Linked DNA regions of Oryza sativa Japonica Group. The protein of the gene in region 1 binds, or shares a complex with, the protein of each later gene. Links are inferred from orthologs where the notes say so. Each region holds a gene or a part of one and is shown in the gene's direction. Other genes may lie near its edges. The genes, in order: protein TIC 22, chloroplastic; protein TIC 20-v, chloroplastic.

Region 1 (4,260 bases):
GTTACTTACACTAATCATTAGTTAATAGGGCCAAGATAATTTAGGCACCACAATGGACAATTTAATGATTTGGCACTTTATTAGTCCGCAGTACTTTAATTGTATTGGTATTTATAAGGATGCTATATAATATCATAATGAGTCAATGATAATAATGGCTAAGTATGTTTGCGAAAGCGCATGTAGCATAGTTGTTACAAGAGTCTCAGTAGCACCTTAGGTCCTGGGTTTGACTCCCCATGGAAGCAAACTTTTCAGCATTTAACGGCTTTGTGCTTTCAGTGGTAGGCGACGTACCCGTCGACAACGAGGCGCCCGTGGTGATTTCGTCAATCTCCAGGATGCATTTGCCGGCCCAGTCTTCGAAGATGCTCATAGGGGTAAGGTTTGCGTGCGTGCGTTCATACTCATTTGAACAGTCCTCATATTTGCCTCATCTGTAAAGCTACTTGCTGGATCTGAGGGCTTTCAAGGAGACTGATTAATTTGTTTGGACTGAAAAACAACAACCGTTGGATGGTAGATGGACAGTGCACGCACATGATGTTACGTTGTAGCTCGATCCGATCCACGTCCCGTCCTCTTCCTTTGCACGCTGGCCAGCACATGATGTGTAGAGGTAGAGAGACGGTAGTCACCCACTTACCCTTAGATCTCTGTTTTTCTGAGGGCTTTTCAAGAAGTAGACTGATTAATTTGGGCTTTTTAAGAAGGAGACTGATTAATTTGTTTGGACTGAAGGCAAGAGAAACAACAGCCATTGGATGATAGATGGACAGTGCACGCACCTGACGTTACGTCGTAGCTCGATCCGATCCACGTCCCCTCCTCTTCCTTTGTGCTCCCTCCCCGTGCCGCCTGTGCCTCCACGACGATGAGGTGCCAATGCGGCAAGCAATTGGACCTCCACCTAAGCAAGGCAAGCCGCGCTGGCCAGCACATGATACGTAGAGGTACAGAGACGGTAGTCACCCACTCACCCTTGGATCTCTGTTCTTCCCCAGACAGCGTGCGCGGAGTTGAAAAATTTAGGGGCGAATAATTCCAATTCTATTGGTGATGCTCTTAGAAGCTAATTTCATCCTCCATATTGTAAGTTGTAACTAAACATATTTTCACTGAAAAAAATTGATAATTGAGCTTAACATATTTTCACTGAAAAAAAAAATGATAATGGATTGGCCGAAGCAAAACCCCCCGACCAAACCCAACCAAGGCCACACCAGTTGCAGTGCAGCACGACTCCACGAGGCCAGACGGTGCGGCTCGACCGAATCCGCACGCCGCCCGCGGCCCGCTCCTCGGCGACGCCGAGCAACACGACACCTCCGCGCGCCGCCATCCAAGTCGTCCGTCGCGTCGCGTGCCGAAAACCCAGCAGCAACCAGCCAACCACGATGCCGCCGCCGCCGCCGAACTCCTCCTCCTCCTCCTCCTCCTCCTCCTCCCTCCCGCTCGCCGCCGCCCCGATGTCCAACCCGTCGGCCCCCTCCTCCTCCTCCTCCTCCTCGTCGCTGCCCCCCAACCCCCTCGCCGCGGCCTCCTCCTTCCTCCACCACCACCTCTCCCGCCTCGCGTCCCGCTTCGCCGCGCCGCCGCGCCCAGCCCTCGCTGCTGTGACGGCGTCGGCGGCGCCCCCGGGGCCGCAGGGCGCCTCCGCCTCCCTCTCCCTCGCGCTCGCGCCCGACGAGGTCGCGCGCGCGCTCACCGGCACCCCCGTCTTCACCGTCTGCAACTCCAGCAACGAGTTCGTGCTCGTCTCCGACCCCGCCACCGGCCTCCGCTCCCTCGGCCTCCTCTGCTTCCGCTCCGAGGACGCCGACGCTCTCCTCACCCACGTATCCTCATCTTCCCATCTGTTATGCCTTTTGCTGTTTGATTTGTTCTTTTCGCCCTAATGGTTTGGGAGTTTGTGTGGTTTAGGTGAGGATGCGGCAGCCGGTGGTAGGGAGAGGGGCAAAAGTGGTGCCGATTACGCTTGATCAGGTGGGATTAAATCGATATTTTGTGATCAATTTTGTCATCACTCTTCTAGGACCAACTCTGCATAGGAAGAGTTATGGAGCATTTGGGTTTATGCAAGAGTTAAATAGGGACATACAGTTGTATGATAATTTAGTAACTGAATGACATATTAACGAGTAGCAAAGTGGGACCTGGATTTCTTCCAAGAGCAAATCAAGGAAAGCTGCCGTTTCTTATGTGCTGCCCCTTTTACCTAGCTTAGTCTATCTTTTCTTACAACACCCATGCTTTTCTTGCATATTCATGCTTGAGGGTTCTTGGGCTTAGGCTAGCCTCGTTGCAACTTCACTCGTTTCTACTTCATTCAATACAACTAGTATATTGCTTACATTTAACTATGCTGATTATTTTTTATGTTTTACAATGTAAATATACCTTAAGCCGTCCTTCTAAATGCAGGTTTACATGTTGAAGGCTGAAGGTATTGCATTTCGGTTCTTACCTGACCCTCTTCAAATTAAGAATGCGTTGGAGGTTAGTTCTTCTCTGGATTTGTGGCTCTTTGCTCCATCTTATCTATAAGTGGATATGTTTAGTACGCCCATCTGGCCATCATTCTATCTCACTAGAAAAGTGGAATTCAGTTCCTCAGGTTGACAGCATTACTCCTTAAAAGCATCAATGCAGCCATTGCATCTTCCAAAATTCCAATGGACTCCTTATATACCAATTTTACTCCCATTTAATGTTTTTAACTATTTACCAACAGTCCGAGATCTTTGCAGTTTGGGTATGTGTGTACCTATTTTCTGTATCACCACTCAAGACTTTACACATGGACTTGGTTCCTTGTATATATTATTGGTAGAGAAGTTGTACTGTCACTAATCATTGCCTTCACCAGAATGCACAAATGATATGCATACACTAGACAGATGCACGCAGAACACATGGAGTGCTGTCACATGTCAGCCTATTTCATAAGGAGAAAGTCCCTTCCTTGCAAAAGAAAAAAAAACATATGGGAAGGTGGCATTTTAAAATATAGATAATCTGTATTGTTTTTCCTGTTTCTTGGTGTGGACTGTCCACATTCAGTGGTTAGACTTCAGAGTATATCATGGAATGTACAACTCATGCCTTTTCACTCATGAATCATGAGTATATCAGAGCTGACGTCTTAACAGTGTATAGTATGTAGATTATTGCTATCTTATGCATTGTTTCACTAATGTAAGAATGCTAACAAACTTACTTCAGCCCAGTGACGATTATCCTTCGTTTTTTCAGTTAAAATCTGGCTTAACTGCTTTTGATGGTGTTCCTGTTTTCCAGGTAATACTCATGTCTGTATTATTTACTGAAAAATATACTTTTATGGAAAGCATTGAGACATACCCTTTGCGATTATTAAATGTATTTTAGAATATTAACAATAAATGTATTAAAGTTGATTTGCTGATTAATATCTTGACTCAGTATAAATTACTCGTGAACTTAATATTACCAAAGTGCATGGACTAATAGGTAGGTTCTGAAGCTATCTGCTTGTTCCTGTTAGTTATTAGCCCATGCCTATTTATTAAATGTAAATGCATGAACTGTCCTGTCATAATTTCTCGTTATTTGTCACATGTGTGCATCATTTTGTGAAGCTTTAGCCTTATCTTATTGGCACGACTTGTTGTACTAAAATAGGACTAGAAGATAAACGGATAGTCAAAAATTTTCAATTGAAAGTTTAGGCGTGCAGTAGTCTAAACCTTTTCATGGAATATCAGATCTTCTGATGTTTCGATTGTCATAGAACAAGGGAAGCCCTGATTTTCTTATCAAGGAAAAAACTGAAGTACACAGCTTTAGGTCCATCAACGCAGTTGGTTACATGTTTATTGCAGTATGACATGAAAAATCACGTGGAATAAAAGCATCATGGCAGGAGAGAATGCTTAACTTTCTTCCGGAGATGCTTGAACACTTTGTTTCAAGATATTGTGCCATTATATGTATGATTTTCCAATTATTCAGTTGTTTGCAGCACTGGACTTGTGAATTTGACAGGCTGATAGCTGTTTTTGATTATCATAGCGTTCTATCCTAAGTACAGACTATTTAAGACATTAAGTGATATATTCAGCATTTGGTGATTTATTCTTTCCAATAGCAATAATGTCCCATTTGAATGTGCAGTCAGACCTATTGGTTGTTAAGAAACAGAAGAAGCGTTACTGTCCGATATATTTTCAAAAGGTTTGCCAGGCTTCAATTTCTTTCATGTAGTTTACCCGGTCTGAT
Region 2 (3,340 bases), on another chromosome or scaffold:
TTCAGCAGTCTGAACAGATGCTGCTGGTTGTTGGGTGTATATATGCTCTGATTGTGTATTATAGAACACCAGAATGCACGGTGATGTATCATTTTTTTTACCACGGCTGTGCTGTGGTGGTGTATCGAAGTAATACATGCCTCTACTTGTTAACGTGCGAGTCAGTGCATCTTGTTTTCAGTGGCGATTAAGATAGGATTAGCACTGATCCAAGAGCGACCCAGCAGTTAAGTGGTCTTGTCCTACTCGTTATCGTCTCATCGATCGTTGGAGCACTCAGCTCGAAATGCAGTGAACCACCGCGAGAATAGCCGCTAGAGATGCGCGCGAATCTGGCACGGAGCGCGCGGCCGAGCCGAGCCGAGCCCATCCCACAGTGCACGGGGTTGAGTGCCTCGTCGTCTCCACTTCGTTGCCGATCTCTACTCGTCAACGCGCGCGAGGGACTCGACGTGCAACCGATCCCTAGGCGATCGCTCTGCTAGACTGCTACGTTCGAGCTCGTGCATATGCGCCTGGTTTTGTGCGATGGATTGGAGGATTAACGTTGACGCAAGAGCCATCTTGGGATCGAGTTTAATTTAATTTTACTAGTGCTCCATTCGACGGGAAACGTGCCAGTAGGAGGCAATGGGGATGAGATTGATGAATTTTCATATGGCAGTATGAGGCAATGGTAGATCCGCAAGCTGCATAGCTCGTGTAATTAGTAAACCATGCTGGTAGATTTGTAGTCTGCTTTTGTGCTAGTGAAGCAGTCAGTCAGGTAACTCTCGGGTGTGGAACGGAGGGAAGATTAACGTGCCACGCTGCTGCAGGCTGCAGCTGTTCTCCCCTTTCTTTTACAGGACCATCCAAATCCATTAAACGAAAATCACACATTATTACAGTTCGTACAACGAAAATCACTCCATTTCCTTGTGTGTGTCAGATCGCTGCCAGCCAATTGTCAAGTGCCAACGGCTGAACGACACACTACGGGCATTACGGGCCGCGCGCGCGGAGTTCAGCTTGAGAGGCGTACAACGCCTTAGCCCATTACGAAATCGCGATGCATATGGTACGACGAAAGCCTGGTAGCCCACGCAGGAAAACCGGCAAAACGCGTCTCAGACGAGGCCCAAACAGTACGCCTGATCCTTTCGGCCCAGTGAACAGCACGGCGCCGCAAGCTTTGGCCCATCTAATGCTCTTCCTGCCTGCCGCGGCGCCCTCGCCGTTGCCCTCCCGCACCAGGCACCACCAACCAATCTCCTCGTCTCCCACTCGGCCACATGCCCCACATCCCACCGAAATCTGGAAAAATCTCCACGCTCCCAACCCCGCTTCGCCTTCGCCCCGGTGGCCGCAGCCGCGCGGCGCCACTGCCCCCCAACCAGCCAAACTCCCCCACCTCACGGCACTGCACCCGCAAAAATCTCAGCTCCCACCCGCCGCGCCGCGCCGCGCCGCGCTGCTCCCCCAACCAAATCCCTTCTCCATGGCATCCGCCGTTTCGCTCCTCCTCCTCTCGTCCCCGCGCCCGCTCCGCCGCGCGGCGCCGGTGCCAGCGCTACGCTCCCAGGCGCGCCACCCCTTGCTCCTCGGCCACGCGGGCGAGACCGCGCTCGGGGTATGGGCCACGCGCGCCCGCCTGCCCGCGCCGCCGCCGCGCGCCTCCAACCCGAACAACGACAACGACAACAGCGGCGCCGTGGAGGCGCCCGACCGCCTGGTGGCCGCCGTCGCCTACCTCTACCCGTTCCTCGACGGCGTGCACCACGGCCGCTTCCTCCTCGCGCAGTTCCCGCTCTTCAGCACCCTGCTCAGCCCGCTCGCGCCGGCCGCGCGCCTCTTCCGCTCCTCCCCGCTCACGCCCTTCCTCCTCTTCCTCACCCTCTACTTCGCCGTCGTGCGCAACCAGCAGGCCTTCTCCCGCTTCGTCCGCTTCAACGCCATGCAGGCCGTCGCGCTCGACGTGCTGCTCATCTTCCCCGACCTCCTCGTGCAGTCCTTCGCGCCCTCCACCGGTGGCGGGATCGGCTTCGAGCTCTTCCAGAGTATGGAGAGCACCGTGTTCCTCTTCCTGCTCGTCTGCCTAGTCTACGGCGGGGGCGCGTGCCTGCTAGGGAAGACGCCGCGGCTGCCAATCGTCGCAGATGCAGCCGAGCGCCAGGTGATGTGATGAGCTTTTGTCAAATCTTGCTGGTGAAAAGGAACAAAGGAAAATGATATACACATCCATCTCGATGCCTCATTGATGTTAGTAGATCGCAAATTCACAAGTTCAGTTTAGTACAGTGATTATTTACAGCTGTAGTAACCAATTTAATGAATGGAGTTACGGAAGGTTGGTACAATGGCATTACAAAATTTACAATCAAGTGTATGAACGAATGAGTTGAATTGGGAATTTTTAGAGATAGCAATACATATACTCGCTATAGAATATGGAATTCTGGACTACATTTACAGATGATGAATGAGAAATTGGGGAGTGTCCTCAAGACCTCCCCTGAAGGAGCTTCAATGGTATATGAATGGATGCTTAGGTTAGTTAATTGTTGTTGCAATATAAATAAAATAATTGCATCAATTGGGGATTGTGGTTGCTGCTACCAAGTTATTGTCTGAACTTGATGATGTCTGAATTTTCTAGTTTGGAGAAAAAGTTCTAGCTTTTATTGCACCGCCTCTTGGTTATTTGGATGGGCTCTTCATCTTCATTGATCTGTGATGTGAAGTCAGGACAAAGGTACAAAATAATTATTAAGCAGACGATCTATATGTTCAAACATCATGAATAAATCAACTTTGTAAAGCTCTATACCTTTGAGTTGTCACTAGTATTATCTCTTGCTCGTTTGGCCAGGTTGATCTCTACAGCTATATTAGCTTGAGATGGATCTAGTCCTGACTTTTTAAGAGCTTCTGTCAATCTGTTGAATAATCTGTTGCAAATTGAAGTAGTATCCTGTTAGTTACATATTGTGCTAACTTTAGTCTTGAAGTAACAAATGGTTAAGGAACAGACCCTTGAGAGTAAGCGCTAGAAATACTATGGTTTTCATCGTGAAGGGTCTGTTTCTCATGCTTGTTCGGCATTTTGTTGCCTGGTTCAGACTCTTGGCGCATTGTTGACATGCTCAGCCATGGTGGCTGATTGCTGGGTGTGCTGTTCTCTGCGTTTAAAAGACATTAAAGTTAGTGGATCTAGTTCTTAATTACAAGAATTCTGACTGTTGAAAGGTGATAAGAAATGGACTTACTTTCCAAATTTTGTGGTGTGCCTGTTGCCATGTGGGAGGAACTGGTGGTTGTACTGGTTACACTCTGTGTGTTGAAGAGAGCAGGTTGTGCT

What was found.
Region 2: protein TIC 22, chloroplastic (region 1) and protein TIC 20-v, chloroplastic share a complex: the UniProt entries of both Arabidopsis thaliana proteins name them as parts of the tic complex. The link is inferred for Oryza sativa Japonica Group from reciprocal best matches to the Arabidopsis thaliana genes Tic22-IV and Tic20-V.

What each region holds. Positions count from the first base shown.
Region 1 is NC_089040.1:5,941,211-5,945,470, reverse strand, and holds the start of protein TIC 22, chloroplastic, read left to right. Parts: upstream 1-1,219; 5' UTR 1,220-1,397; coding exon 1,398-1,838; intron 1,839-1,923; coding exon 1,924-1,986; intron 1,987-2,424; coding exon 2,425-2,499; intron 2,500-3,255; coding exon 3,256-3,300; intron 3,301-4,155; coding exon 4,156-4,215; intron 4,216-4,260. UniProt on the Arabidopsis thaliana protein: Involved in protein precursor import into chloroplasts. Imported into the intermembrane space via the Toc translocon. May be involved in the import pathway used by proteins without a cleavable N-terminal pre-sequence.
Region 2 is NC_089036.1:30,722,288-30,725,627, forward strand, and holds protein TIC 20-v, chloroplastic, read left to right. Parts: upstream 1-1,257; 5' UTR 1,258-1,480; coding exon 1,481-2,164; 3' UTR 2,165-2,575; downstream 2,576-3,340. Other genes in the region: transcription factor BIM2, read right to left, coding at 2,654-2,710, 2,810-2,930, 3,014-3,161, 3,249-3,340. UniProt on the Arabidopsis thaliana protein: May be involved in protein precursor import into chloroplasts. Not redundant with TIC20-I, TIC20-II or TIC20-IV.